Linked DNA regions of Arabidopsis thaliana. The protein of the gene in region 1 interacts with the protein of each later gene in a pairwise test. Each region holds a gene or a part of one and is shown on either strand. Other genes may lie near its edges.

Region 1 (8,301 bases):
CCAGTAAATTCTGGGCCGAAGCCCGTAATCCCCTCAGGTTCGAAACCACAGCATGTAATATTAGTTTCGTCCCAAGCGTCATTCGAACTGGCGACCTCTAAGATTCGCCTAAGGTCTTTACTAATTGAGCTACAATGGATAATAAAAGAATCTAACCTTCCAACAAAAAGAAATAGTATTACTAAAGTCAATAAGAACAATCTATAGCCAAAGAAAAGGTCTATGGGTGTTGTGGTTATAAGAACTAAACAAAAGTCGGTCAAATAACATTATTGTCTTCTCTATTCGTTCACCGGTCCCGTAACTGAACTTTGACGTTGGCAGCCTAGTTACTTGATTGATTTCTCATCATACTAATAAAAATAATAAAATGTTGATACAACCCTTACATAAATGTATACAACATCTCGACCAGCACGCCAATATCCCTTTCTATATAATTAAAATTCATCTTCTAAAATCATTTTCAAGTACCATTGCCTATCCAAACTCTATACGCTATACTACATGTAATATATTAATGACCATAACTCGTTTTCATGACGTATACGTCGTCATTGCTCGGTATTATTCGTATTGCTTTTTTTTTCTGATGATATAGAAAAACAAAAAAAAAGACCTACTATTGTCAATTTTTATATACACACACATAATGCGAGAATTGCTTCGTCACTCCTATCATCTGATATAAGAAAAATAAACTAGTTGAATGCAAATTTTCATATCTTTTTGTGTTGATTATATATACATAATACATGAATAAAGAAGTTGGTTTTTTATTAATTTCGTGGTAAGTCCGCCGATTTGGCCTTTCTATACGCATTCAAACTTCACAATACTATAAGAAATTAACTCCTCAGTTTTATTGCCTTCTTGATAAGTGGCAACTGGCAAGTAAGGGTAATTAGTAGTAACGGTAGAGGCTAACGAATTCACACGAGTCACTGTCAAAATAAAAAATTGAATTCAAATGACATGAGTAAGGATAGATTAACAAAAAGAAAGTTGTAATGGATAGACGCACATTGCCAAATTCCACATTATAGCTTTAAAAAAAAAAGTCTGAACGAAGAAAGAGTTGCAATTATTTAGTAATTTCAATGATATGGAACTTGCAAATTGTGGAAATTCTTAAGAACGTCCCCAACCAAAAACCAAAAAAAAAAAAACCAAAAGCATGCAACATGGAACCACATATAAGAGTACCCTTCTTTACGTCAATTATCTTTAAAGCAAGTCTTCGCTCTTCAATTTATATTTTACCAAATCATCTTCTCTCTTTCTCTATCTCTCAAAACAAAAAGTAACCATGATCAAGACAAAGACGACGTCCCTTCTCTGTTTCCTTCTCACAGCCGTTATACTAATGAACCCATCTTCCTCCTCCCCCACTGACAATTACATATACGCCGTTTGTTCTCCGGCTAAATTCTCCCCTAGCTCCGGCTACGAGACAAATCTTAACTCCCTCCTCTCTTCCTTCGTCACCTCAACCGCCCAAACCCGCTACGCCAACTTCACAGTTCCCACCGGGAAACCGGAACCAACCGTTACCGTATACGGTATTTACCAGTGCCGCGGCGACCTAGACCCAACCGCCTGCTCGACGTGCGTATCAAGCGCCGTCGCACAGGTCGGAGCCTTATGTTCAAACTCGTACTCCGGGTTCTTGCAGATGGAAAATTGTCTGATCCGTTACGACAACAAATCGTTCCTTGGGGTTCAAGACAAAACGTTGATCCTCAACAAATGTGGACAGCCGATGGAATTCAACGACCAGGATGCGTTGACCAAAGCTAGTGACGTCATCGGTTCTTTAGGTACCGGAGATGGATCTTACAGGACAGGTGGCAACGGGAATGTTCAGGGTGTGGCTCAGTGCTCCGGTGATCTAAGTACATCACAGTGCCAAGATTGCTTGTCTGATGCAATCGGACGGCTCAAATCTGATTGTGGAATGGCTCAGGGAGGATATGTTTACTTGTCGAAATGTTACGCGCGTTTCAGTGTTGGTGGTAGTCACGCGCGTCAGACCCCAGGCCCAAACTTTGGTCATGGTCAGTCTTCCTCTAAACTTATTTTAACTAAACTAGATAAAAAAATAAAAAGTCGTAATCACTAAAAAAAAAACCTTTTTACGTAACCTCAGATGAAAATTTAAATATTAGACTGATCTTAACAATTAGTCTAATGGTTTATATATTTGTGTACGACGCTAAATTTTTAAACCCATAAAATTGATAGTGTTGACCATAAATAAAAATATGAACATTATACTTGATGGAGAAAACAAATTTATTAAAAACTTTAGAGGTGGATGGATAGTTTTAAAATTATATATATATATATTTGGCAGAAGGAGAGAAGGGCAATAAGGATGATAATGGAGTGGGAAAAACATTGGCGATAATAATAGGAATCGTCACCTTAATCATCTTGCTCGTTGTGTTTCTCGCTTTTGTTGGAAAGTGTTGTAGAAAATTACAAGGTATTTTTGATATTGATTTACGTTTTTTTTTCAGTTCTTTTATCGATCATAAAATCTAAATTACTATGTATATGCCTTTTGCAGATGAGAAATGGTGTAAATGAAAGGACAAAGTGGGAAAGATATCAATCAACAACTCGAGTCGAGCCACACTGTTAGTTGTATTTTTGTAATTTTTTTTGTTCTCCCTCATAAGATGTACGTAGTTATAGTATATTGATAATTTGATATAGTATTGATATGATTGTATCTCCGAATCGATTTTTGTATAATTGTCGGACTTATATAGGCCAAAGCGATATCTTCTTCTTTGATGTGAATGAAACCTTCGATTTCTTATCTTCTATAAATGCCATGTTTTTCGTCTATGCAAAAAATAACAGTAATTAAAAGGGTTTGAGCTTCTTTTATCAATACACAAACAAGTTAAAATAAATGAACGTGTCGAGAATAATGGAACATATTAAACCGTAAATCAGGATGGAGATCCAAAAAATGATAACTGTGTTCGTCCTATTGCGAATGTCTGAACGAATCTTTTCATCGTATTCATCATTATTTATTCTCATATTGTCTAAAGAACTCAATTGAAGACTTGGCCTAATGTCCTTTAATCATTAAAAATGATAATTTAAAATTGTAAGCTGACTACCAAATCGTTTTAGGACTTTGAAAGACCAACTAACGTCTAATTCTTTTCCATATTTTTTTTAATTTTCTGAAATTCTTAATGTACTACCGATGATTGCTTCATAACCAGGTTCTTCTTTTAATTTGTACATGAGTAACATGACTAATAAATGACTTGCGTCTGTTTGAAACATTATATGAATAAGAAAAATTGGTCTCAAATAACAACATGATGTATCAAAGATTCAAAAATTTCACGTGTTATGAAATGAGCTTAGCAAAAGTTCACTCAAGTTCTTGGAGGTCTAGTTTGGAATGCAATTTAGCCAAATCTGTACAGTTATACTGAACAGATTTAATGTAAGTCGGGCCGTAAACAAAATTATGGGCCTTAGATAAGCAAATCAAACTTCTTTCAGCCCATTGAGCATTCTCGTGATTTGGTTATTGTATATCCAATACGTGACATTACTTTTGCCTCAACGAAAGAGTCTTGGCTTATCATTTCATTTATTATTATAGTTGAAATAATTTTCAAAGAAAAGAAAAAAATATGTGATAAATACCAAACCGTTGCATAAGAAAAGCAACCACACATTTTACATGTGTGTGTGAGTTCACGAAGAAAATATCCAATAGCCAAACTAATTAATCCACCTTTGAAAAAAAACATGCACTATTATAAACTAGAGCCACCGACGGTCGACGGATGTCTAATTGTATATGGTCCTCAGAAATGAAAAAATCAAAAGAATAAACACGTGTGAATTAACCGGTTTAACCAGTAGCACCAACCGTTTGTACCGGTCAGAAAAAAGCCCCACATGCTTTAATCAAGCAAGCCTTTAAAAACAGGAAAGGCAAAGAGTTAAATAAGCCTCTCCAAAAGTGTGTCTGTAACATTACCAAAACGAAACCTTCCTTGTGGATTCCCACTTCTTTCTTCTGTTTTCTTCTTCCTCTTCTTTAAATTGGATGTTTTGGGCAAGAAACAGAGAGAAACACGTTAATTTGAGAGTTTGTCATTGAATATTTGGTTTGCAATGGAAAGAGATTTTCTGGGTTTGAGCGACAAGCAGTATCTAAGTAATAACGTTAAGCATGAGGTTAACGATGATGCTGTCGAAGAACGAGGTTTGTGTTCTTGTCTCGAGAATCTTTTATTTTAATGTTTCAAGAAGAGATCAGTTTTCACTTTTAACATAGCCGTATAAAGTTGTTTATTTAAATATAATTTTTCAGATTCCAAAACTTGAAAAAAAAAAGATTCCATTAAATCTTTTATAAAAATGAGATTGGATAGATTAGTCAAATTGACGACCATAAAAAATGATACTTATAGGGTTAAGTACGAAGGCAGCTAGAGAATGGGGGAAGTCAAAGGTTTTTGCTACTTCAAGTTTCATGCCTTCTTCAGATTTCCAGGTTGGTTCATCTTAAAATTTAACTTACTCTGTATCAGTTTCAGATGTTATGGCTAATCTAATGGTTCTATAAGCTACCGCATAATCATGGTCGTCTTTTAGCATGTGCAAGAGGAGTACTCAATTATGGTCTTGATTAAAAAGAAGAATTTACTTTCAAATTATGTTAAACACATCAATCACATATTTATGAGAAAAGTTGTTTTCGTAAGAGATAGCCACCGGAAAATGGTCGGATAAATGGCCGAACTTTATCATTTTTGTGTATGTGGCCAATCATTAACCAGGGAAAAAAAATTGTTGGATAAGTGCTAGTTAAGAGCTGGTAGGGTCGGTCGTCTGCCAGCCGCAAAGTTAGGGAAAAAATAATTTAATATTTTGTGGCGTTTGGTGTTTGGCGTTTGGATCACGTTTATTTCTTGGCATTTTTCTAAATTTAGAATGTACAAAAAATTTAAAGACGTTGACGATTAAAATTTGAATTTAACAAATTAGGAGGCTAAGGCGTTTCCGGGTGCATACCAGTGGGGATCAGTTTCTGCGGCCAATGTTTTCCGCAGATGCCAATTTGGTGGTGCGTTTCAAAACGCGACGCCGCTTTTACTAGGCGGTTCAGTTCCTTTACCAACTCATCCTTCTCTTGTTCCACGGTAATTTCCATATTATGATGCAAAAACATTCAACAATTTTTTTGCTCTTTTCATATTTTGATTTGGTTATGTGGGTTTGTGGAAACAGAGTGGCTTCCTCCGGATCATCTCCTCAGCTCACAATCTTTTATGGCGGAACTATAAGCGTCTTTAATGACATATCTCCCGATAAGGTATATATAATCAAGATTCATACAAATAACATTTACATAACATTTACATGTTCTAAAACGGACTATTCATGATATGTGAGTAGGCTCAAGCCATCATGTTATGCGCCGGGAACGGTTTGAAAGGTGAAACTGGAGATAGCAAACCGGTTCGAGAAGCTGAAAGAATGTATGGAAAACAAATCCATAACACTGCTGCTACCTCATCAAGCTCTGCCACTCACACTGATAATTTCTCAAGGTGTAGGGACACACCCGTTGCTGCGACTAATGCAATGAGCATGATCGAATCATTCAATGCAGCTCCTCGTAACATGATTCCTTCAGGTATGTGTGTCTAATATCAACATCAAAACAAAATATAATCAAGATTTTTGCTTCCTCAAATCATATGTCTAAACTCGAAAATTGCTTTTTTCCAGTCCCTCAAGCTCGGAAAGCATCCTTGGCTCGGTTCTTGGAGAAGCGCAAAGAGAGGTTTGATTTTGTATTTTTTTTCTTTATAGAAAATTTTGAGGTTTTTCAATTGAATCTAAAAGAATTGATGTTGTTGGTGCAGGCTTATGAGTGCAATGCCATACAAGAAGATGCTTCTTGATTTGTCGACCGGAGAATCCAGTGGAATGAATTACTCTTCTACTTCTCCTACATAAAACCTACACTTTTTTTTTTTTTTTTTACAATGGTAATTTGTAATTGTAATCATTAGATTATGATTATATAGTTACCATTTATATTCTTACGAGCAGGAGAAGACGTTAGGGCGTCTCTGTATTTGATCATTGTTTGTAATGCTTTGGTCTGTTTATTGTAGGATTACATTATAACTTTAAGAACTAACAGATATATGTTTGTCATGGACTCATGTCTGTCAAGAATTTAATATCAAATAAAATTCACTATAATTTTTTTTTTGCTAATTTCACAAACACACTTCATTAACTAATTATATGAACACTTAATTGATTTATACCAAAATCATATTGAATGCATCGCTAAAGAGAATAGTACTAGTTTTGTATCGCCAGCTTTCGTTGTTAACAAGTCCACTTTACTATTATTCTCTCGAGTTTTTTTTTGGTATCAATGTAAAGAAAATAAGAAGGTGAAAATTCTCTTGAGGTTGATGATTGTGTAAAATACCTAAGATGATATATTACAAAAAATGATATGTTTTCAAAGGAAAATATTCATGTTTTAAATAGCTTTTTATGAAAGTCACGAGTTCAAAATTTGATGTTAAGGAGAATAAATACTACTAGTTTATGTGCTACAGTAAACAAAAAAAAAATTGTGAACCAAAAGAGCTCACATGTTGATTACGAAAACAGAGAGATTCTCTTCACAAGCGGAAAGATCTTATAGATATTATTATTTAGAGGCAGATAAATAATTGTAGGAAAGTAATAATGGTGAAGGAGATGCACATAAGCAAAAGTTTGGTGAGGAGGACAAAAAAGAGAGCTTAACCTCTAAATTCATCACCAAAAACACGTTCATATATATGAGTGGATAAGAACGATCGTCGTGGTCTTATCATTTTGCGTATCCTCTCTCTCGTGTATATGTTGTATCATCATTTACTCACTTGTCCTTTCATGCCCCCACCAAGTTGTGCAATTTGAACTACCACTACACAATTCAAAAGTACATTGTTGGGGCTAAGTTTAGTCCTTTTGTGTTTAGATTGTTTCATGAATTGATGGATTTATGATTCCCAACACTCATTTTGTGTTATCTCCTTCACTCTCCATTTCAATTAGTACTCTCTTTTACTTTATAAAATTAAACAAAACTTGTACTCTGCTTCACATTTTAACTCCTTTGCTTCTCTCTATCACTCGATATATAGCAACAATAAAGTGATTTAAAATCAATTGTGACATCAACATTTCTGGTACAAACCTCTATACTACATGTTCATACAAATTTTAATTAATAAATACAATTTTGATTTTGACTTTAATAGTTTCTATCACTTTACATTATTTTCATTTTTTTTTTTGAAGAAAGCCAAGGTCTCTTCTCTCTCATTTATCCATTGGTATAGAGAGAAACATAGCTTTCCCTAAAAACGTCTTCTTTTTGTTGACACAATTGTTTCCTTCATTAACGAAATATAAACCAAAACTTGTATTATCTCTAAGGTTTGTGTGACCATAAAATTGTTCTGAAGACAAGACAAGGTCCACAAGGACATGAATATCTGCGATAAACAATTTCACACAAATAATCCAAAAACATAAATGTCATACGTTTTAAACAAAATACATTTTTGAGATAAACCCTGAATTTGTTTCTTCCTTTTACGGTGTGTGGTTCGAAACGATGCAGTGCCATGCCGGGTCATAAGCAGAGACAAAGTCACGATTAGTACACATCTCACATTTTTCAGATCAACAAACATCAAATAAACAGATTAGAAGCTGAATTGTTTCAAGAGTTTCAGTGTTATACAATATCCTCTAAGAAACTTTATCAACAAGGATCACACAGCGCTAAGTAAAAAATTCCTAGAATTATCGAGTGAGCTATCCTCGGGTAACGTCGAACTTAAACAATAATACACGCGCACTAGGTCTCATAGGCAAAGACAACAAGATGAATCATAGTAAGCAAACGAACTCTTAGCTAACAAATTAATTTTCTTTTTCTATGGGCTTATTGGGCCGTCAACTGGACCATTTAATTTTACTAAGAAGGACAGAGATGAGGAAGTAGACCACCCCCATGAGGAAGGCCCAACAGAGATGAAATCATTATGAAGCTTGATTTGCAAAACTATAGATGGATATTTTAATTTTTAGTAGGAATCCAAACAAACAATAAACTTTTCACACAAAACCTATCATTGAGTTTTTTAGTTTTAACTGTTTTTGCTTTTGTTGAATTTGGTTCGATGATCTTTTTTTCTCTTTAAAATCAAACTTTGGTCTGAT
Region 2 (8,821 bases), on another chromosome or scaffold:
CCATTAAAGATCAAGTATGTAATTGTACAGACTCGGAAGAGCTGTGAAGAGTCGCCGCACTTGAAGCTCAAGGCCAACAACGCTATCTTCTACATGGGTTTCAAGGGCAGTGGTGATCATCATCCGAGTGGTAAGCATGTCGAGTACCAAACAATAGTACGGAAAGCCATGGATGGAAAACCGGGACACATTCGTCTAGAAGTTGACTCTTGGCAAGCCATACCAAGCGATTTAATTGGGGAGGATGAACCGCCCTAGAGTAAACCTGAACCGGAATGCTCATCCTCTGCTGCTCAATAAAAAGTTACCGTAGGGTTGACTTCAAGTCCTTTGATGACGACTATACTGTGAATCTGTGATTACTTGTTCTCAATGCAATAACTACAAGTCTCTTCTTCTTCCTCTTTTTAAAGCTTGTCTTCTACTTGTGATTACTTGTTCTGAATATTGTGATATCAATCAAGACAAGTATGAAATCACCAAGAGCTCTAAGAATATATTTTTTTCTATCATTTTATTCCTTGGATTTTTGAAGAGTAACAAAACATATATGATTTTCATGAGAAGTTGAAGCTGAGAGAATAATATTTAGAGTTGTATTATCGTGAATTGTTGGTAACGATGATGGAGGCTCCTGGGACTAGGGTTGGGAGATGGGAGTTCACTTCTATTGAGAGCAAGTCGGTGAGGAGGAGTTTCTTTGAAACAATGTGATAGGCGGCGGCGATTTTGTATGTGGGAGACGGTGAGGGGTCTTCTTCACCGTCTCACGGTGGATAGCCACAACATCATCAACGTAGACATTAGGTTGAAAAATTCGACATCTTATGGTATTTAATATGACGATTAAAAAGAGAGAAACAAGTCTATTTATCCTTTGAATTGTTAATGATCCTTTTTAATTTATTTTTCAAACTTATAAAACTATGAATAATAGCATCAGAAATAATAAAAAAAAAACCATGTAACTTTATTGCTTATGAGTCAATCAAAGTATATATTTATTCATGTTGTAGCTTTTCAATATTATTAACCATGTTTGTTTTCATTATTTTATTTTTACATAAGTAACATATTTTCATGCCATTAAAATTTTACAACATAAGATAATTTTATTTTATAATATTCAAATTTCCAATTTCCAATTTCCTCTTTAGTCTTAAGTCTTAACATGTCAATTTTTGTATTAAAAAAAAAACATGTCAATTTTTTGTACAAAAAAAATAAAACCATGTCAATTTAGGAGGAAAAAAAACTGGAAAAGCCTGACAAAGAAAAAAAAGCTGGAAATATCAAAAATAAAATGATAACGTCGCCTGAGAGATTCGAACTCTCGCGGGGAAACCCCATGTACTTAGCAGGCACACGCCTTAACCACTCGGCCAAAGCGACTTTATTGATCATGAATCAATCTAAAATATATATATATATAAACCTATCGTTTTGAATTTTTTTTTTTGGCAAACAGCTTTTGATACTATTATATATATATATATATATATTATCCCCACATATCTTTAGCTATGTCTTTTTCGAAGGAAATTTTGAAGTATTAAATTAAGTGACGATTTACACACATATGGAGTAATTAAATCGTTTTAGCATATCTTGTAATGTTGTCTCTCTTATCCAACTATTCTAAAGAAAGTGGTGACTAGAAAATATAGATTATATACTATGTGACCAACTTTTTAGTATATCTTTATAAAAACGCATAAGATATGTCATATGTGTTTCCTCTAAAACTTGTTAAAGAAATGAAAAATCTGTTGGTAGATGTGAATAGTTATGGACTAGTTTGGCTTTAAAAAGAAAATTGGGCCCATGTATTTCTATTCATGCATTGGACATGTACAATGTACAAATATATTCATGATTGCAAACATGTAGTATATATGCTGACTATACGATTGTTATTTATTCAAAAGTTAAGAAAATGCACAAGATACACATGGACGAAATCGAAACTAATTGTACAATAAAATAATAATTATTAGTATTACGAAGGGAAAAGGGAAATGGTCCGTACTAGTTGTCCGAACCCGAAGAAGCCCCAATCGCTGATGCAACTGTCTAGGAGCCGCCACGCTGCGAAGAAGCTCTAGGGTTTGTTCGTCTTCTTCCTCGGTTTCATCAGGTTTTCATCTTCTCGATTCTGATTTCGGCTTCTGTTTTAGCTTTATTCGGCTTATTGTGATTTAATTTGAGCTGATTTGGCATTATTGCTGTGTAGTTAGGGGTCAGGGTTTTAATCTGATCGCGTCTAGGTTATGATTCTTTTGATGATTTCGATCTTTAGAAAGTCAATTGATTTGTTTCTTCGTATGTAGCTCGTTTAGCTGACAGATCTGCATAGTGTCTTATCAGTTACTAGATCTTTGTGCTATCTCTCACTCTGATTTCTGGATTTTGATTCCTTTTTTTTTTTTGTTAGCTGACATACAAGTGTGAGTGATGTGTGTCTTTGCTTTGTTTCCATTTTAGTTTAGTTTCTCAAAATGGAAATGATGAATATTGGGGGTTTTCAGAACCTAAGTTGTAGAAATGGTCTTTTTTTGTTATCACAGAACTCAAAAGGTACTTGGTAGGAGCGAGAAGAAAGTTTCTGGAGAATTGCTGAATTGTTTCTTTCAATGGTTTTGTTTCTAAGGTACTATCCGAGTCCAATGTTTCTGAGAGTTCTGGTAGCTTGTTAATTTGTTATACTGAATACTAGGATTGATTTTGGCAAAGCATGTGATGTTTGTTGCAAGTTCAAGCAGATGTGTTTCTTTTTATAAATTTAGAAGAAGTTTACTTCCGCAGCCATCTATGATTCTCAAAGTTCTTAGCTTTGCGTTTGATTCTTTTTTCTAGAAACCATTGGTTAGCTTTGGATAATGAGTCCTTTTCTGCCCATGATGTATTTTTCTCAGATGGTAATCAAGATTGTTGACGGTGCTCTGAAGATCTGTTGACCTGCTCAGAGTTTGCTTAAAAAGTTTGAGAAAAAATGGACGATGATAATGGGCTCGAGCTCAGCTTGGGTCTTTCTTGTGGAGGATCAACAGGAAAAGCTAAGGGTAACAATAATAATAATGCTGGAAGCTCCTCAGAGAACTACAGGGCAGAAGGAGGCGATAGAAGTGCTAAAGTGATTGATGACTTTAAGAACTTCCTGCATCCAACTTCTCAAAGACCTGCAGAGCCGAGTTCTGGTTCTCAGAGAAGTGATTCGGGTCAACAGCCTCCACAAAATTTCTTCAATGACCTCTCAAAAGCTCCTACAACTGAGGCTGAAGCTTCTACGAAACCTTTGTGGGTGGAGGATGAGTCACGGAAAGAAGCAGGGAACAAAAGAAAGTTCGGGTTCCCGGGGATGAATGATGATAAGAAAAAAGAGAAGGACTCGTCTCATGTTGATATGCATGAGAAGAAGACAAAAGCATCCCATGTTTCAACTGCGACAGATGAAGGATCAACAGCTGAAAACGAAGATGTAGCAGAGTCTGAAGTAGGTGGTGGTTCTTCTTCCAACCACGCAAAGGAGGTGGTTCGTCCTCCTACTGATACAAACATTGTGGACAACTTAACTGGTCAAAGGAGGAGCAACCATGGTGGATCTGGCACTGAAGAGTTTACAATGCGCAACATGAGTTACACCGTACCTTTCACAGTTCATCCGCAAAATGTCGTCACTAGTATGCCTTACTCTTTACCGACAAAAGAGTCTGGACAACACGCAGCAGCTACAAGTCTATTGCAGCCTAATGCTAATGCTGGAAATCTCCCGATTATGTTCGGATACTCACCAGTCCAGCTCCCTATGCTAGATAAGGACGGTTCAGGAGGGATTGTCGCACTTTCTCAATCTCCATTTGCTGGAAGAGTTCCATCAAACTCAGGTAAGCAAAACCTTCCCTTAAAACACGATTTAGTACTCTTACAGCAAAAATAGTAACTTTTCCTTCCAAAAAGCTACTGCAAAAGGCGAAGGCAAACAACCTGTTGCAGAAGAAGGTTCATCCGAGGATGCATCAGAACGACCAACGGGAGACAACAGCAACCTCAATACCGCTTTCTCTTTCGACTTTTCTGCCATAAAACCTGGAATGGCAGCAGATGTGAAGTTTGGAGGATCCGGGGCACGTCCCAACTTACCGTGGGTCTCAACCACTGGTTCAGGCCCACACGGACGGACAATCTCAGGTGTCACATACCGGTACAACGCAAACCAGATCAAAATCGTATGCGCTTGCCACGGCTCGCACATGTCACCGGAGGAGTTTGTACGGCACGCAAGCGAGGAGTACGTTAGCCCAGAATCATCCATGGGAATGACTGCAGCGTCAGCTCACACCTGAAAAGTCACCACCGGAAAAAAAGATGTCTGAAATCTTGTAAACAAATGGAAGGGTTTGTAATGAGTTTCTTTTTGGAACATACATTTTATTATGTTTAGTCGGATCAAACTCTCAAGCCAAAGTTTTTTAACTGAGCTTTCTGTTATGTTGTTGTAATCTCTCTACTTCATCACAATTCCTTATGTAATCCTCTTCTTTCCTTTTTGTTTTTTGGTTGAAAGGAAATTATATATAACCATAACATTATCGGTGTCCTTTGTTCCTTTGGTTAAAATCTAAACAACTATTTTGGTAAAATAATTCACTTTGATTTTGACTACTATGTAACGACAGCAAAACCTTCAATTATGTAATGTCATGTCAAAACCTGATACCATTGATACGGTTGGTTGTACAGAAAACCTGCAAGAATAATGTCAAACTCTTACTTAATAGTTAATAAATTGATAATGTTGTGGTTAAATTCTATAACAAAGAAGTAATTGAAAGACTAAAATAGTGAAAGTATTGATAAAACGATGATGAAGAGAAATCTCTTTATTGAATATTTCAGCTTAAGGTTTACAATGACAGAGAAGGGTTTATATATGAACCCCAAAATGGTGAGACACTAGGTCACACGTCATTAGCTGCACATCACGACAGAGGAACAAAGAGGATCAAATTTGTTATGAAGGGACAAATGATTAGCTGTGAATCCCGTACGTTGATGCGCTGGAAATTGAGGAATCTTGTTACCGTTGCAAGGTAGAGAAGACTTGAGGTTGATGGGCTTGACACTTTGACTGAGGCCCAAAGTATTGTTGAGTGTTGCAGGTCCATTCGCAGAAAGCAAAGCTTCTGATTGTAGAGGAGGTTCTCTCTGATTCACACACCCCCTCAAACTTGGTGTGGGAGGTAAAACAACGCCAAGTTTGTACCTTAAGTCAAAGAATGGACGTTGGGGAAGAGACTTGGTGAAGATGTCTGCAAGTTGATGAGAAGCAGGGACATGTTTGACAACCAAAGCTCCCAAGGCAACACGTTCTCGAACATAGTGAAAATCAACATCAAAGGCCTTAGACCGGTTGTGCATTGCTGGATTTGCAGTGAGGTAGACAGCAGAGAGGTTGTCACAGTACAACTCCGGTGGTGCAGGTTGATAGATGCCTATTTCACGAAGCAAAGATGAGATCCACTTCACTTCTGTAGCTGCGATAGAGAGGGTCCTATACTCAGCTTCTGTTGAGGACCTTGAGACTGTTGGATGACGTTTTGCAGACCAACTGATTATGTTAGTGCCAAGAAAAGTGCAGAAACCACCAACAGATCTTCTAGTCTCTTTGCAGTTTGCCCAGTCACTATCACTATAAGCACGCAAAGTGATATCCGTGTTGTTGTGTAAGTTGAGACCCATTTGAACTTTTCCTTTGAGATAGCGTAAGACTCTTTTGAGGAGATTGAAATCAGCAACTGTGGGGGAATGCATCTTTTGACACACAAGATTGACTGCAAATTGAATGTCAGGACGAGTAAGAGTAAGATATTGTAACTTACCAGCCAAGCTCCGAAAATAAGTAGGATCAGCAAAGCTTTCTTGTTGACCAGGAACTTTATCCAATTGAAGAGGCAAAGGGGTTGGCATTGGGGCACAATCTGCCATTCCTGCTGCAACAAGGAGATCCATAGCATATTTCTCTTGATGCAAGAACAACCCTTCTCAGTGAAAATGAGCCTGAATTCCGAGAAAGTAATGCAGCATTCCCATGTCTTTCATGCGGACTCTTTATTCAGAGAGACAAGCAGTGTGTCCAACAGTTCACTATTGTTGCCTGTGAGAAGCATGTCGTCCATATAGAGCAAGAGGAACATGAGATCTCTTCCTTTCAGAAACACAAACAGAGAAGGATCTGAATAGGTACAGATGAAACCAAACTCCAAGAGAAAAGTACTGAACTTGTCAAACCAAGCTCTCGGAGCTTGTTTAAGACCATAAATGGCTTTGTTGAGCTTGCACACATAATCAGGTCTGTCTTGATTTTCAAAACCTGGAGGTTGGTACATGTACACAGTCTCTTTCAAATCACCATGTAAAAAGGCATTTTTAACATCAAGTTGCTTGATTTCCCACTTGTTAATGGTTGCAACATGTAAGATTGTTCTCACTGTGGCTGTGCGAACCACTGGACTATAAGTCTCCATGTAATCAACTCCTTCTTCTTGTTCATAGCCCTTAGCAACAAGACGAGCCTTTAATCTATCAAGAGTTCCATCAGCCTTTAGCTTCGTTTTGAAAACCCACCTGCAGCCTAAAGGAGTAATGAACGAGTCAGGTGGAACCAAATCCCAAGTATGTGTTTCTTCAAAAGAGTCATACTCTTCACCCATTGCATCAGTCCATCCAGGGTCTTTAAGAGCTGTTTTGACTGTCTTTGGTACAGGGTAGTTACTCTTTACTGTAAACATAGCATATTTGGGATTTGGCTTGAAAATGCCTGATTTAGACCTTGTTATCATAGGATGACTTTGATCATTAGTGTTGTCAGCAGCTTCTGTTTCTGTTGTAGCTTCACTGAACACTGAACTTTCTGAATTTTCTGAATTTTCACTCAACTCTGAGTCTTCTGCATCATTTCCTGAACCTGCAGAAGAGATAGGAGTTTCTGGTTGTGGTGAATTCTGCTGAGTAACTGGAGAAGAAGGGAGACTGTTGCCTATAGGAACAGAATCTAAGTCCGCCGTACACCCACAACCTCCTCCTCCAACAGCACCAGAGAATTCACCTTGTTCATCACTGAAAGAAGCTGCAGTATTAGAGATATCCAAGACTTCTGGAGTTGCAGGAATACTCTTCGGGAGAAAGTTGCTTTGCCAAGCTGAGACTAAAGTTGAGTTTGTACCTGAAACTTTGTCACTATAGATATCTGAAAAAAGGAATTTGGATTCATCAAATAGAACATGTCTGTTGATATATATCTTCCCTGTAGGCGGATGAAAACACTTGTATCCCTTGTACTTCTCATTATAACCTGTGAAAACACATAGTAACGATTTAGGATCAAACTTGTTACTTGCATAAGGTCTGAGATTAGGATAGCAGGCACATCCAAAAACTCGAAGAGAAGTGTAGACTGGAGCCTTTCCCATAAGAACTTCATATGGACTTTTCTGATCTTTGAGAACTGAGGATGGAAGAAGGTTGCACAGGAAATTTGAAGTGTAAAAAGCTTCTACCCACAAAAACTGAGGAACTTTGCCTTGAAACATCATTGACGAACCAAGTTCTGTAATGTGACGATGTTTTCTTTCAGCAATACCATTTTGTTGAGGAGTGTAGGGACATGAGATCAACTGTCTGATTCCACACTCTGCAAGATGAGAAACAAACTGATTGCTGATAAACTCACCCCCTCCATCACACTGAAAACTAGCAATCTTTTGTTGACACTGATTCTCAACCATCTTTTGAAACGTGAGAAAGACAGAGAAGAAATCTGATTTGAGGCGCAATGGATAAAACCAAGTGAATCTTGAGTAATTGTCAATAAAGATTACATAATATCGAAAACCTTGAGAAGAAACAACTGGTGCAGGACCCCATAAGTCACAGTGGACACGTTCTAGGAGTCTGCTTGAAACAAAATCTGAAGAAGCAAAAGGAAGCTTGCAAATCTTTCCCATTTGGCAAGCATCACACAAACTGTGACTTGTTTTACTTATAACTATGGCTTTATTTCTTAAAAGTTGTTGGAGAACATCTTGATTAGGGTGACCTAGCCTCATATGCCACACCTCATCACTTGTAGCTTGTTGTCTGGAAGAGTAGCAAGCCATGAACTTCGGATTCTCCAACAGGTACAAATCATTATGGCGGGTTCCTTTCGTGAGGAGCTGTTTTGTCAGCTTGTCCTTAACAATCACACCATCAGAGTCAAACTCAATCACACAAGGATAATCTGAGGTAAGCTTAGACACAGATAAAAGAGACTTAGTGATATTAGGACAAACAAGAACATCTCTTAGTGGCAGATTACCTTGGTTGCTTGTCAGAACTGCTGAACCAATGTGAGTTATGGGGAGAAAGTCACTGTTGCCAACAATAACTGAATCTTCTCCACTGTAAGGTTGAGCAGACTGAAGCTGAGAAGTAGAGTTCGTGATGTGTGAAGTAGCGCCTGAGTCAGTCACCCAAGGATTGGATTTCTGATCAGAGACACGCATTGCAGCAAAGGCTTTACTGAAGTCTTCACTCTGAAAAGCATGATCAAAACGCTTCCAACACTTATAAGCAGAATGACCATACTTGTTGCAGATCTGACAGGTAGGTCTTGTTCCTGAGTCAGAGGGAGAGCCACTTGAGATTTGTTGAGGGAAACCTCTCCCTTTAGTGGTGTAGTTGTTGCGACCTCGATTTCCACCAGATTGACCACTTTGAGTAGTTTGATTCAGTAGCATAAGCCAAGTGAGGAGAAACATTAGGAACCTCTGCATACTTTTGC
Region 3 (7,871 bases), 6.8 Mb from region 1:
TCCACTGTTATGCTTCTCACTGTTATCTGGGGAACTTGTACTGTGGTTGGCAAGTGTGATCTTCGTGATTCAATTGCTGTAAACAACCAAGACACCAAAGGCTTTCACCTAAAAGGTAACAAGGAAGTGTCTTATACGGTTACACCTTCAGGATTCTTCGTTTGTATGGGTTTTTATAAGGGACTGATGAATACAGTAGAATTTAGTATTTGTGCTTTACTATATGCGGGTTCCTTATTGTTGTTTACTCTGTTTTTGTAGATTCTGGTGTAACTGTTGATATTTGGACCAGCTATGCTGCAAGAATAATGGCTATATCAGTTATTCCGTTCGTCATTGTCCAGCTTCCGCAGATGTTGGGCTCAACCTCTGGAAGACAATTGTCCGTGTTGATTGCTCTAATCCTTTCAGTTCTTATGTTGATCTCTTACTGTGTATATCAGGTAACATAAAATCTTCAGGACAGAAGTTTCTGAAAAATATTTACTAGACTTGTTTCCTTTTTTTTTGCTTTCTCCATCTTGTTTTGTGAGATTATCCTTCCTTGTATGATGATATCTAGGTATTCCAACCATGGATCCAAAGGAGACGGCTTGCTTTTGCAAAACACAAGCATGTTATATCAGGAATACTAAGGCACTTGAAACAACATGCTCTGGGAAGGCTTCTTGATGATGAAGGTCAGCCTGATGAACATGTCATTCGAAAGTAAGTCATATATTCTTTACATGGAGAATGCACTTTACTCGGTTTCACCTTGTGCTCAAGTTTATCTGTTTATTAGGTTGTTTTTGACAATTGATGCAAACAATGACGGACACTTGTCAGCGGCTGAACTAAAGGCGCTTATCATTGGGATCAGCTTTGAGGATATAGATTTTGACAAGGATGATGCTGTGGGAAAAGTTCTCCAAGATTTTGATAAGACTCTTGATGAGCAAGTTGATCAAGAAGAGTTTGTCCGTGGAATTAAGCAATGGCTTATCCAGGCAATGGGAGGTGCTCCATCTGGTCCTGAAGCTGGCCCTCGAACAATGAAATTCCTTGACAATTTCCATGTGGTTAGAAAGACTGTTGAAACCTTATTTGAACAGACTTGGGTCACAAAACTTATCTGGAATCTAACGCAATTAGTTTTATCCTTTTTCTTGTTTTGCAGCAAACAAAGAGAGAGCATGCTTTGTTGGGAGATAACGAGAATGGTGAGAATGATGAGGAAGGCGGTGAGGTTGCAGACCCAAAATGGATCACCATTAAAGCAGCTCTGCTGCTACTGTTAGGAGCTGCCATTGCAGCTGCATTTGCTGATCCTTTAGTCGACACTGTTAACAACTTCTCCGCAGCCACAGGGATTCCGTCTTTCTTCATTTCCTTCATCGCTTTGCCTTTGGCCACCAATTCAAGTGAAGCCGTGTCTGCCATCATCTTCGCATCCCGCAAAAAGATCAGAACCGCCTCTTTAACTTTCTCCGAGGTCCATCCATATTCACAAGTCTTATATCTTTCTGTCCCATTATATTTCCTATACTAAAACCCGTTTCTTGGTGTTTGTTTGTTTTCAGCTATGTGGTGGAGTGACAATGAACAACATTCTGTGTCTCTCGGTGTTCTTAGCAATCGTCTACGTTCGAGGACTGACATGGAACTTCTCATCAGAAGTGTTGGTGATTCTCATCGTTTGTCTGGTGATGGGCGGTTTCGCGAGTTTCCGCACAACTTATCCTCTTTGGACATGTTTCATAGCTTACTTGCTTTACCCATTCTCCTTGGGTCTGGTCTATATTCTTGATTACTGGTTTGGCTGGTCGTAGATATCACTCTCTGTTCAAAGAGTTTGTTCTAATGAGTGAGTGTCTTCGCGCGTGGTTTCGTTTCTTCTCTACATATATATATATATATGGATTCTCGAGTGTAAAAACTTAAATTCTGAGATTTGTGTATTGGAAACAGAGTCTTATTGAAGCTAATACAGTAATATCTTTCTTGTTTCTTCTGTCTATTTAGTCTTCTCCTACATCTTTATTTTTGCTTGCTCTTTTATAGTTTTACTTATGGATGTTCTTTGTATTGAACCAAAAAAGTTACTTGTAAGTTGTAATCATCATATTTAGAGATTGAAATTTATTAATTTTTCGGGGAAAAAAAAATGATCGAACCAACTTATGACACTTACTTAGCAAGTAATGCCAATTGTACCATAAGCCGATGAATAATTGATTCATTATGTACTAACGTAGAATGTTATCGTCAGGTCCCGTAGCTCAGTTGGTTAGAGCGTTGGTCTTATGAGCCGAAGGTCGCGGGTTCGAGCCCCGCCGGGACCAAAACTTGAGTCTTTATTATTTTCGATAGAATTCTTATTTACAAACATTTTTAGACCCAAAAACTGTATATGAATCCGGAGAACCTTTTGAAAGACGAGCTCTAACTTCTTTTTTTTGGTTCGGTCCTTAACTCTTGATATCATCATTTTGTGTATGAAGCTAAACCAAATGTAAATCAGAAAATTCATGCCTGCCAGAATTTGATGGTGTTTGAAGGAACATAAACTTTTAGTGTCAATAAGGAAAATTGGATCAAATTTGGTTGGCTTCTTATCATTCAGTAAATGAAACCGGTTAACTCAAACAACATCAAACGTAGTAACCTCATTACTTAATAACCAAAAGAGCCGGTTTTAAAACTTTTTGTTGTAACCTCATCCTCTGAAGAGAGATGCAAACTAACAATAATGGTTTTAGACCACTATCCAACAATCAAGTTTTGAGCCATTTTGCGACTCTTTTCTTCTTTTTTTGGAAAATTATCATTGGCTATGGAATAGAATGAAGAAAAATCAAAGAAAAGTAAGACAGCTGTATGTAACCTTGAGATCTGACAAGAGATAGAAAGAAATAGAGAGAGGGGACCATTCTTTAAAGGTGACAACCTTTTTTCCCATTTTGGTTTCATCCTTTTCTTACACTTTGCTATCCTTTTTTATTATTATCATTCATGTCTTCTTCAACATTCCCTTTTTCTTCTGTCATGCCCCCAAAATCATAGAGGTTTCTTTTACCTCATTGATCTTTTCACATAACCAGATTCATCATGAGCTACATTTATTGTATGTACATCAATCATATACATTTGAACAAGAAGGTTACAAGGAAGGAACAAAAGAAGAAGAAAAGATAACAGAATTTTAAAATGTAGAATGGATATGATTCAGGCTGTCTTTTTCTTTTTTATGCTGCAATTTACTTTCGGATGTCTAGCCACTACTTCCAATCTCATCTTATCCCATCTCATGTAAAGTGTTGCTTCTTTATATAACTTCTCCATAAGAAACCAAAGTTTTCTTTCCGAAAGATATTATAGCCAAAAATCGACAAATTATGGACAAAAATTCATACCTTCACACTATTGATCTGAAAAGAAAGAGACTTGCTCTGCTTTCAACTTCCTTCATTTAGACCAACAAGAGTGTCTTCATCTACTAATCTAATGTCCTATTCTTTTTTACTTATTAAAGACTACATCACACTCAAGTTCGGTGGATCTCCTACACTCTTGTTTAAAGTAGACAGTTATTTGACACTAGACATCAAATTCTCTTTTGCTCCTTTTTCATAAAATCTTGAAATCTAGTATTGAGGAAGATTCTATGAAAAGAAGTCAAAAACCATTTCTCTGATATTTATATAGGGATCCGTGGATCATGGGCCAAAACTCTTACTAAGTATCAGAGCTTGCATCCACTAAACAAATTTTAAAAGAAACCCATAATTCTAAACTCTAAACTCCAAAAGAAGCAACACATGCAAACCCTGTCTATGGAAAGTGACTCTTCATCTATGGGGCCAAAAGAAGAGACTAAGAAACACAAGAGAAATGATTGTTTCAAATTCCATTTGCTAGTCAAAAGAAAGTTTATAACCACAGAGATTGGGAAGATAATACTTCTAATAAACGCTAAACCAAACAATATGATGATTGATGTAGATGGATAGAGCACTGTTCCTCTTTGGGATTGGCAAACAAAATGAGATATTTCTTGGGGAAAGCATTAAACCCACATGGAATAAAGGGCAAACAAAAGACTTTAGCTTCAAGTGGGGTTAAAGGTTTCCAACACAAGAACATAAATAAAGGACAAGTAATTGTAGAACAAGTTACAACAAACAAGATGTGAGCTCATGTAGCTAGAGCTAAACATTGTAAAACAGAATTGAACTTACAGAACGTTCTCTAATTGATACAAGATGAATTCAAATTAACCAAGGCCTAGGCTTTTAAAGACTTAAGAAGAACCTGAAACTGTTGATCAGATTTATAGGCCATTTGGATATTCGAAACACACAACAACGAAAACCGCCTTCACTATTCCACGCATTCGAAGCGCCCTGAAACGTTAAAAACAATGTAAGTTATCAATTTGATGAATGGTTAAAAGACAAGACTTTCACAAATGGGTGTTGTTTTCGAAAAACTTCAAACCTGGAATATGAAAAGAAACCTGTTGTGTTGCACAATCTTATGTGTTTTTGGAACTTGTTTAATGGCGAGAATCGGATGAAGCAGAGGACGGCTTGTTGTCGCCGCCGTGCTCCTCTTGTTCGCCTTGAAACCGTGCTGGTATACGAAAACCGGAGAATTCACCACTTGAAGCAAATGCAATGCCTGGAATAGCAGATTGGTGAATCCCGGGAGGGATATGGTAGGGATGATGATGGTGGAGATCGTCAGTGGTCATGGACTGCTGATGATGATGATGATGATGGTGAGGATCAAACCAAGCACGAATCATAGGTGTGTTAATGGACTGAAGGGGACCCCTCTGTGATAAAAGCTGACTTTGGCTATAAACTGGATGCAACGACGACGGAGAAGCAAACACAAATCCTCCGGTACTTCCGGCGGATTCAGCTGCTCCGACGTTGTTCCATGACACTAGTCTCTGTATCTTTCCAAATTCCGGTGACTGATGACTCTGTTCCCAGCTTGCCGTCGATGAGTCAAACGCTAACTGATTATTGCTCTGGCCGGAGAACAGAGCAGGTTCTGTTTGATTAGGAAAAGGTGGACCATTTTGGAAAGATTGAAGCGAGAGACGAAGAAGATCTTGGTTCTGTGTATTGCCTCGTGACGGTGGCTGATGATGATAGCTCTGTTGCGTTGAAGCTACCGGAAAAAACGACTTTATAGTGTCAGCTATCGAATCAGAATCCATTGACGCCGGAAGAAAACTCGATTCGTTATCTTCTTCTTCTCCGATTCGATGATGCTCTGTTTCTTCCGGTTGTGGCGGTGGCGGAGAAATTAAAGTTTTGGTTTTTCTGGGTTTAGCGTTAGCAGCAGCGGCGGCGTGTTGACGAAGAGTATCGGCGGGGTTCCAAGGAGGAAGCTGAGCAAGATCATCAATGGCGGATTTAGCTTTAGTAATAAGCCAATCAACAGCTTTACTTGGTCGATCAAAACCAAGTCTATCTTGAACATCGTAGAATTGAATCGCCGTCGGAGCTGAGAGTCTCACGCGCCGGTCACGTGGTCCTTTCGCTGTACATACTTTACTATGTCTGTCTTTTCTTCCTGTTGACCGAACAATGTGACCTCCTTGTACCTCCACAATCTCGCCGCAACCACCACCGTTCTCCGTCGCTGATTGGTGGTGTCTCATCTCTAGAAGAGGCGGCGACGGAGAATCTAAGAAATGGTCGTTATCTGGTGCCATTGATGAAGCATATTGTGGAAATTCAAGGTCGTTGATGGTGGTGGTGGTTGGATTATGACGGCGGCGGCGACGGCGGTCGTTAACCGCCGAGGAATCCAGAGTCGTTCGATTTATTTAATTCAACATTTTGCCTCTCCTCCAAATCCCAAACCCTAAACACGCCAACAAATCAAAGATGAAGAAGAAGAAGAAGAAGAAGACGTAATTGAATTTTGCAGACTAACCCATGACTAAATTTCTCTTCTTTTGTCTAAAGATTGTTTCTTTTTTAGAATTTGTCTCTGTTTCTGAGAATTCAAGAAGCAAAAACAGAGGAAGCAAGAAGAGAGAGAAGAGATAGAGAGATGTGGAATTGACTAAACGAGAATCCAGGAAAGCTCTTTTTAATTTTTTGTTTCTGGCCGGAAAATTTACAGTAACGGTAAAAAAAGGAAGAGATTTTGGGGTTTGGGGAAGAGAGGGAAATGGTAATGGAAGGAGTGTGTTTGGTCATAAAAAGAGCTCTCTGATACTCATCATCATCACTTGTGCTTTTATTTCATTTTTAAAGTGTTTTCTTATTTTATATTATATATTTTATGGTTTTTCTAAATGAAAAACAAAAAGCTTTTGTCCGATTCATCATGTGGAAATATTTTACATGACATTTCGAATTGTATTAGCTATATACATTACAATGGATATATTTTGGTAGAGGTTACTGTAAGAATATCAACACATATACATAGTCCTCTTAGGTTTGGTTCTGACTACCACTATTTTTTTTTGTTAAAGATGATAGAAACTATAAGCACTAATAAACCCAAATTTTACCAAGTCAAAGATTGTTCTGTACTGTGTTAGAAAATATTAATACAGAACTTTTGAGGTAGTAAAGGTTTTGGGTTGTTGGAAAAAAAGACAATACAAGAAGATTTCTTTTATAATAAAAACTAAAAAGTAAAGCTTTTAGATCTGTTGGAGAGTTGGAGACACTAATAATTGGGCGGTATAAACTAATATTGATGGTATTATTTTAAACAAATAAAGTATTATTTTCATCGAATCAAATTGTATTGGTTTTAGAGGTTACACCCTGTAAAATGCATCACCAGTATCCGTAGGATTCGACAGTATCCCTATAATCAACCATTGTCTATGCTCCTTTCCACTATCTGTTCTCGAACTCCACTGTTCGTCAATCCCACTTTTAATTAACCAAACGTAGTAAAGTTTCAGATGGAAAACGAAAATAATAGAGATACATACTTGTACATAGTTTTAGTTTAAAATTAACTTGAATTTCCTTTAAACAAAGATAAAAATGTGTATATATACGTAATTTGGTAACTCAATCAGTTTTTTTTTTCTTTTTTGTTAACAAGGAAATCCCGAGCATTTGACATACTAATACAAGTATGGTATGTGATTAAATATGAACATTTTAGGTGTGATTCATGTAGAGATTTCAAGAGAGATATAAGAAGAAATATGTGATTGTAGATAGGAGATTTATGTTTTTTGTAAGTGCGTTTCCTACTCATCGAGCCAATCTGCATTGAATCCATAATTTTTTCTTTTACCTTCCCAAGAGAAGAAATTATCAAAACATCGTTCTACGACATGCAACATCAAATTTAAAGGCACGAAATATCGCACGGTTCACTGGTTTAGGACACAATCAATTATTGTTTTCCATTTTTTTGTCATTACCACAAATTCTCTTTCTAACTACTTCTCCATTATACACACCGACCATGCATGTACTGTATTTTTAATTAAATACCCGTAGTCATACGAACTTTTCTGATATATAATGTATTTGGTACCATATTCTTGATCATCAAATAATGACAATGCACACATAAAAAGATGACGTATCGATATGTAAGGCAAAGATGGAATCAAATTTCAAATAAATGTTTCCCATTGCACCTACTCAACCAAGTGTAGTCTAAATAAATTTACGAATATACCCTATAGGCTTTTAGTGTTTTTCGATCGCATGTGTGTCAGTAAGTACACTCCCCATCACCCTCATAGTCATTTCCTCTTATCTCTCTCTCTTAAGTTATTTTCCCCAATATTTATTCCTTTCATTTATTTTTGTCAACTTGTTTTTCCGATAAAGAAATAAACACAATTTTTTCTGTCAATTTCCTAGTTTTATTTCGTTTAT
Region 4 (7,198 bases), on another chromosome or scaffold:
CAAAATAAACATCAACAACATATTAAAATTCTTACGAGAAGATGAAAAAACAGTCTCACACTCTCTTGAATGAGCTTTGTTATCAGAGAAACATCGAGTTGTCGATAAGAAGGTTGTTGTTGGTAATATCACTCGTAAACAGGTTCTGATCATAACCACAAGGAACATGCGGCATCAACCCATAGTTGTTGTTCACAGATTCTTGTACCGCAGGAGCAGAGTGATCTTGTGTGTTTGAGACAAAAGAATGTTGGAAGTTGTTGTTGTTCATAAACATGTTCTGATCATAATTACAAAGCTCCTGTTGCATCAAGCCAGATTCTTCTTGTAGTAAGGCTGAGAACTCTTGATTGAAATTTGATGCAGAGAGTGGGATTTGAGAGAGCGTAGCATCTCCATTGTTACTCATGCACATGTTCTGCTCATAACCACAAACCTCCTGCTTCATTATCTGACTCTTCAACTCAGATTGTTCAAGTAACGCTGAGAAATAATCCTGATTGAAATTTGATGCAGAGACTGGGATCTGAGACAGAATATTATCTCCATGGTTATACATAAACAGCGAAAACTGGCTAGGGTTCAAAGATTGGGTCTGATTATTCAGAGAGGATGATGCTAAACTCTGATGATCCGGTTTTGTCTCCTTATGTTTCTGCGACTCAACAAAACGAATCCTTTCTCGGACTTTAGAGACATGAGGTTCTAAGGACTGAATCAGTTGAGAAATTTGGTCAGGAGAGTAATGATCAGCAATTGGATACTTTAAAACATTCACGTTCTTCAGACAAGTCTTTTCAAGTCGTTGTCCTTTATCTTTGCTTTCTTCTCCAAGTTCGTCTTGTTCTTCTTCTTGTTCAGGAAGTCATAAAGAGTAACGCTCTTCTTGCGTCTCAAGGCTTCGTTTAGTTGACTATACCTGAGAGCAATGTCTTCCACTTTCTCTCGCTCCGGAGGCCATGTCTTGAGTTCTCCGTCTGGTCCGTAATAGATGACGCATGCTTCGATATCACAGAGAGTGCAAAGCTCTGAAGCTTTCCTGAAGATGGTCTCAAGTCTATTGCTCAAACTTGTTGAAGCGAGTGAATAAGAAGAAGACGAAGAGGAATTGGAACAGCCTGAGGAAGAAGGTAAAGATCGAATGGCCATCTTCTTGTTGATTTCGAAGACAATCTCTCTATTTTTTGTTTCACGTTCAAAGTGAAGAGAAAGCACGAAGACGAATGAAATTGAGAGAGTGAAACTACGAATTAGGTTTAGGAAACCCTAAGAAGATGATGAAGAATATGAAAGTCAGAGACAACTTTGTGAAATAGCGATATACTTATAGAAAATTTGGTCCTTAAAGTTAGATTTTTTATTTTTTTTTCACTCTTCTAATCGGTAAAACAAAGCTTGTGAAGATTTGATTTCCATATCTTTTGCATAGATTTGTGTAATTTAGCCGTTAAGGACTGATAAAAAGGAAATAGTTTTTTTTTTCTACTCTCACTCTCTTTTAATTAATAAGATCTATAAAAAAGAAAGATTTGCTTGTCCATATATATTTCAGATACCCTTTGTATCATTATGTAAATAGCTCTTAATTAATAATATAATTATTGGATTTGCTAAAAATTTGTGACAATACAATCTAACAAAAATCGACCAAAATACATCCATTTTAAATAAAATTTAGAACCCTCCATTAAAAAATGAGAAATATAATTTATAACTCCGTGTACCTTTTTAATCCATTACTTTGCCATTATTGACATAAATAAAAGATTTTGCAAATTCATATTTTCTTTACTTATTTTCAAAAAAAAAAAAGAAAGCATTGTATCCTCTTCATAAAGAATATGAAATATGGCTCTGAAAAATCCAAAAAAACTAGTGTCATTCAAGAATGAGACTTAATGATTAATATAAAAAGCCATTACAATTATCTATACCAAATTAAGGAGAAGTTGCATGTTCGAAGCAAGTCTTTGTTTTTTTCTTTTTCTTTTCGGCCTTCAAGAAACCAAAAGAGAAGCAACGTTTATAGTAAGACAAGAAAAATTAATACATATTAGCGATGATCAACGTCTACACTAATTCAAGTGTTAATAGTACTATGATCTTAATTGTTAGTGGAATACGACGTCGCCGACATCTCACTCCCCGTAGTCTCCTCCATCACCATTGATCTTACATTCGGAACCTCATGAGTCAACCCTCCAGTCAAGTTGTTGAAGTAGTTATTCTCATTGTTGCTCAGAACCAGAGCATCCCCTGTTCCATTGTTTCTCAGAAACAGAGCATCCCCTGTTCCGTTGTTTCTGGCTGTATTGTACGTGACTCCGAGCATCTGAGACGCGAAGTAAGAAGCAGCTGATTCTGTGAAGCTTGCGGGTTCGTTGACTGGAGAAGGAATAAAGTTTTGTCTTGTTGATATGTGGCTGAGAACGTCTGATGAAGCTAAGAGAGTTGCGGTGTTGTTGTGTGACTGTTGATTGTTGTCAGGAATCGTTGGATAAACCCAAGATTGTGGGATTGATCTTTGTGAGGATACTGCATTTGTCTTCTTAAATATTCTACATATCGCCCAAGCATCCTACAAAATGAAAAAGATCGATTCTAATTTGTTTGGTAACCTAACCTTTGTTGCGGGTAAAGCAAGTTAGGGCAAATCCGATAACTTACGTTTGAAGGAAGCTCCTTGCTGTTGTTGTTATTGTTAAGGTGTTGCTTCTTGTTATTGTAATTGGGATATGATGAGTGATGAGAGTCAGAGAGAGAAGGGAGACGAAATTCATGCATCATCCAATCGGTTTTGACTCCTTTAGCAGCTCGACCACGGTAGAACACAAGTGATTTCTTCAAACCGATGCATCGAGTGGAGTCCAATGAGTATATAGGCCGGTCTGTTCCGGTTGCTTTCCAGAAGCCACCTCCAGTTACTCGGTTAGGTCTTGTGCTGTTGCGGTATTTCCTGTCTCTAGGACAATAAAAGTACCACTCTTTTTCCCCCATCGCTGCAAGCTCTTTTTAAACATTGATTTAAGAAAATGCATAATCAAATATTTTGTTTCCATATATTTGGAGAATTAAAAGTTAGAGTTTTGTGGCTTACTTGGGAGGTCCCATGGATCGTATTTGTAAATGTCGACTTTCTTGATGAGATCAAAGGGAAGAGATTTGTGTAAAACCTTCCGTTTCAAGTAGAAACTTACGAGTTCTTCATCAGTGGGATGGAACCTAAACCCTGGCAATACGACGTCGTCATATCTTTCAACGTTGTTACTCTCTTCATCATCCATAACTAGAACCATTAACACACACAGAATTAGTACTTTTGGGATACCAAAATTTGATGAAGAGAAACAGAGAGATTTATAGAGATAGAGAGAGTAAGTTTGGGGAAGAAGGAAGAAGTTTCTTAGAGAAGAAGAAATGGGTTCATAGGGAAACGATAATTGGACCAGAAAGTGATGCGTAGGTATAAGACCAATGTCTCTTGAATAAGAGGAGATTTATACAAGAAAGATATTATGAATCTTGAATTTTGCCGTTAAAATTATTATTTTTCTTATGAGAAGATTCAAACTTCAAGGTTATTGCGTACTTCGTGAAATCGAGGCTACGGACGAGTCGAACAATATAGGAAAAGTTATACTTACATTACGTATGTGGTTTATCTTTAGGAAAATATGATATGGAAACGTTTTTCTTCCTTTGTTTCGATATCTTATAGATGCATTCTACCAAAAAAAATCTAACTATATGGTTAATGACTTAATGATGATACGACTTTGACCGACTAATGTCAAACGTTTTTCTAGAGTAGAATCTATATGGGATCCAATCTCTATATCTATAAGTCTATAAGTAAAAGTCTTATAAATTAAGATTGATATTTGAAAGTTGTGGTGCTTAAGCAAAGGGTCGTTGTAGTTTTAGTTATAGCCGTAAATAAAGTAATGTTCTTTTACGTAAATTATGAAATCTCAAATTCGCGATTCCCTAAAATTAATTTATTCCTTCCTTCTTCCACATTTATTTATAGTTTCATACTTTTATATATATTATTGTAACATATAAGAAAAGTAAAATCCATGGTAAGTCAATATAGGCATTGGTAAAATCGAAGGCATTGCTTAAGGTTGCTATATATGTCTCCAAGTTTGAGACATGTAAAAACATAATGTATACGTAGAATAGAAATGAAGATCTCGTGGTAAAAAAAAAAAAAAAAAACAAGATGAACCAAAAAACAATTCAAGATGAGAGAAGTCCAAAAAATGGCCTAGGTTTTTTAACCCACGCAACACAAGTTGGGAAGTTTGGTCAATAGCCTTTAACCTAAGCTTTCTATTTCTCTTTATATGTAAAACATTAAAGTTGTCAACAACCATCCTCTTGGAATATCTATTAATGCTGTGAAAATCCAAGTTTTTGCTTTAATGCTTTGAACGGTTTGTGCTTTAAAACCGATACATCAAACCATCTATCTCCGAGACTAAACCCTAGGGAGCATGTATCGGACATGCTCGTCGTCCTCAAAGGAAGAGGATGATGGAGGTACACTTGCCTCTCGGCTGGTACAACACTCGCTCGCAAGGTTCGATTAATAGCTCCTCCAAAGTGGTCTGCTCAACCTAGAAAAGAGAATTGAAGGAGACATTTTAATTTAGTGAGATAAAAAAAGTAAATTGTGAACCTGAAATAAAGAAGTGGAGATGTTTCATAAACCTTGATAACACTTTTGAAAGAGACCTTGCACAAGACAATCACATTGTGGTCCACCTAAACAAAAAAACAAAGTATACATGGTAAGACAAGAGTCCAACAATGAAGAGGAATTTGGAAAATCAAGAAGCAAACCTACAGTTTTCTTTTTGTTTCAAACTTTTAAAAGCATAATTCCTTCATCTTCCACTCAGGCCTCACATCGTTTGATTCACTCTTAGGACCTAAACTGAATGACGTCTTTAGCCCAATGCATATTTGCTGTTCTTCTCGATTAACACTTTTGGATCGCGGCGTGACACCCATTTCCCGATAGAAGTGCTGTTCCCTATGAATCCAAACTAAAATCCGAATATCTAGGCCTAGATAGCGATATGTTTTTCTGGTCTGCTCAACGCATTTTCATATTTCAAACTGCTGGTCAATGTTTAATTTATGTATAAAATAATCACATGTGAAGTTGATGTATAAAACTGTCACAATTTGAAAGTTGGAGTATTAAATGACATTTTTCTCATTTCGATTATGGTGAAACGACGTTGTATTGGAAACTAAAAGAGACTAGTTAACGGATGTTATCGGATCTGTTAGCGGTAGATAACGTCGTGTGTATTTTGGCATGATCAACAAATAATTTTGTATGAAATGGTGCCCGATCAACGTATTTTTATATATTAAATGGCCATATACGAAGTTCACATATTTAAAATAATTACTTTTTAAAATTTCGCGTATAAAATGCAATATTTCTTAATAAAAAAATAAATATCTGCTTTTTTGGGTTTTTTCACAACAAAATAACACATATAAAATAAATAAATCATTTATTTTCTAAATTACTAGAGAGGGCATTTCGGTATTTCAAGTATCTTCTTCTTCCTAAGCTACACAAAAAATTATCTAAGATTCTTAATTTTATCCAGGTTTTTGCCAAATCGACTGGTCTCAGAGTTTTCTCGATTTTTTTTGGAAAGATGCAGGTAATAGCATCTTTCTGTTCGAAACCTAATGAGAATGAATTTGTTGGTCGACGACAACTTCTTTCTTCAGTCTGTTCCAAAATTTCTCAAGGCGACGTCGTTTCACACCCACCCGTTTCTTCTGTCAAGTAAGCATTTTAGCTTCTTCCATTGCCCCAAATTTTGCTGAAAATTTGTTCCTTTGATTTGGGTTGCTCAAAGATTATGTCTTTTCCTGATGGGCTTTAGGTTACTAAGAATGGTGTTATGTGTGAATCAACGTTAGTGAAAAATCACCGTAAAGCTTTTAACTTTTGGAACAATCTTTTGGAGAAACTTCTCATTTTGAATCAGACATTAAGATTTGTTGATTTCTTGGAGAATTTTGATGTTTATGTTACTTTTTGACTGTTTGATTATTCGATAGGGTTACTCAAGATTGGAAGTCGAATTTACATGAGTTAGCTGTGAAAAGTGTCCCTTCGACGACAAGGAGAATCTTGTTGACAAGTTTATTCATGAATTTGTGCTTTAATCCTTCAAGGTACTTATCAGGTCTGCACCTTGTTCAGCTATTTGCTTTTCTTCTAACGCTTTGTTTACACAAATCTGATGAGGAATATATCTTGTTTAAGAAGCTTAATTGTGACAATCAGAGCCTTTAGTTCCTAGCTGGTGATGATTCAAAGTTAGTTTAAAGGATTTTGCAATACTAGTGGTAGAGTTCTGAAGCTCCTTGAACTAGTCTAACCTCTTCATTAACACTTATAGTAAGCTTATAATAAGATGGTTTTCATTGATCCATTAGTGATAGAATTTGATAATTGAGTATGCTCCGTGATGTATTACTACAGCCTTAGCACTTGGTGATCCATCCGTTGCAACCGTTGAAGATGTTAGTCCAACTGTTTTCCCAGCTGGACCTCTTTTCCCTACTGAGGTTTGTCTCTTTAGCGAAAGTACTTGTAAGTTTCAGGTTTTGATGGTTATCCTAAAGATTTATATATCTTTTCTATGTTTCAGGGGAGAATTGTGCAACTGTTTGAGAAGAATACTTATTCCGTTGTCAACATCTTTGATGTGACATTACGGCCTCAGCTCAAAATGACGGGTGTGGTTGAGGTACTGATTCGCAGTACTTAAAGAACACCTCTTTTTAATGTCATTATCAATTGTTTTGACTTACGGTTACACTCATAATCTAATTGTAGATACCAGAAGGAAATGGCTCTGGAGTAGTCTGGGACGGACAAGGATACATCGTGACCAATTATCACGGTAAGATGATTTGAATGAAAAGTTATTGAGCTTACAAAGTGCTTGAGATGGGCAAGGACAATATCATAAGTTTTTAGTTGTATCTTCTGCTGAACAGTTATTGGCAATGCCCTTTCAAGAAATCCTAGCCCCGGGGATGTAGTTGGTCGTGTGAATATTCTGGCATCTGATGGGTGAGGTTTTTTATCTGCGGGATGGATTATTTCAGCCGTTTATATAGTCTCTCTAGTTATTTTCATGTCTGCTCG

The links.
Region 2: the proteins of TIFY7 (region 1) and NINJA interact in binary tests that used the Arabidopsis thaliana proteins (3 or more experiments, as listed by UniProt).
Region 3: the proteins of TIFY7 (region 1) and TCP3 interact in binary tests that used the Arabidopsis thaliana proteins (3 or more experiments, as listed by UniProt).
Region 4: the proteins of TIFY7 (region 1) and NAC094 interact in binary tests that used the Arabidopsis thaliana proteins (3 or more experiments, as listed by UniProt).

Annotation. Positions count from the first base shown.
Region 1 is NC_003070.9:26,650,790-26,659,090, forward strand, and holds TIFY7 (TIFY domain/Divergent CCT motif family protein), read left to right. Parts: upstream 1-3,978; 5' UTR 3,979-4,161; coding exon 4,162-4,252; intron 4,253-4,460; coding exon 4,461-4,543; intron 4,544-5,037; coding exon 5,038-5,192; intron 5,193-5,280; coding exon 5,281-5,365; intron 5,366-5,448; coding exon 5,449-5,689; intron 5,690-5,784; coding exon 5,785-5,960; coding exon of another isoform or gene 5,961-6,015; 3' UTR 6,016-6,275; downstream 6,276-8,301. Other genes in the region: HWI1 (Receptor-like protein kinase-related family protein), read left to right, coding at 1,310-2,057, 2,357-2,488, 2,573-2,592. UniProt on the Arabidopsis thaliana protein: Repressor of jasmonate responses. Jasmonoyl-isoleucine (JA-Ile) specifically promotes COI1-TIFY7/JAZ9 interaction. Interacts with and suppresses RHD6 and RSL1 transcription factor activities to negatively regulate jasmonate-stimulated root hair development.
Region 2 is NC_003075.7:14,259,852-14,268,672, reverse strand, and holds NINJA (Putative interactor of JAZ), read left to right. Parts: upstream 1-1,886; 5' UTR 1,887-2,137; intron 2,138-2,528; exon of another isoform or gene 2,529-2,567; 5' UTR 2,568-2,650; intron 2,651-2,915; 5' UTR 2,916-2,992; coding exon 2,993-3,884; intron 3,885-3,957; coding exon 3,958-4,343; 3' UTR 4,344-4,639; downstream 4,640-8,821. Other genes in the region: AT4G28920 (hypothetical protein (DUF626)), read left to right, coding at 31-258. UniProt on the Arabidopsis thaliana protein: Acts as a transcriptional repressor. Negative regulator of jasmonate responses. Connects the JAZ proteins and the non-JAZ protein TIFY8 with the TOPLESS corepressors.
Region 3 is NC_003070.9:19,845,723-19,853,593, forward strand, and holds TCP3 (TEOSINTE BRANCHED 1, cycloidea and PCF transcription factor 3), read right to left. Parts: upstream 6,004-7,871; 5' UTR 5,714-6,003; coding exon 4,538-5,713; 3' UTR 4,480-4,537; exon of another isoform or gene 4,479-4,479; intron 4,386-4,478; 3' UTR 4,066-4,385; downstream 1-4,065. Other genes in the region: AT1G53210 (sodium/calcium exchanger family protein / calcium-binding EF hand family protein), read left to right, coding at 1-115, 262-443, 563-708, 785-1,061, 1,160-1,474, 1,563-1,811. UniProt on the Arabidopsis thaliana protein: Plays a pivotal role in the control of morphogenesis of shoot organs by negatively regulating the expression of boundary-specific genes such as CUC genes, probably through the induction of miRNA (e.g. miR164). Participates in ovule development.
Region 4 is NC_003076.8:15,937,196-15,944,393, forward strand, and holds NAC094 (NAC domain containing protein 94), read right to left. Parts: upstream 3,396-7,198; 5' UTR 3,297-3,395; coding exon 3,098-3,296; intron 3,009-3,097; coding exon 2,668-3,008; intron 2,579-2,667; coding exon 2,105-2,578; 3' UTR 1,915-2,104; downstream 1-1,914. Other genes in the region: AGL98 (AGAMOUS-like 98), read right to left, coding at 83-712, 790-1,149; DEG8 (Trypsin family protein with PDZ domain-containing protein), read left to right, coding at 5,688-5,821, 6,100-6,227, 6,527-6,612, 6,696-6,794, 6,884-6,950, 7,048-7,123.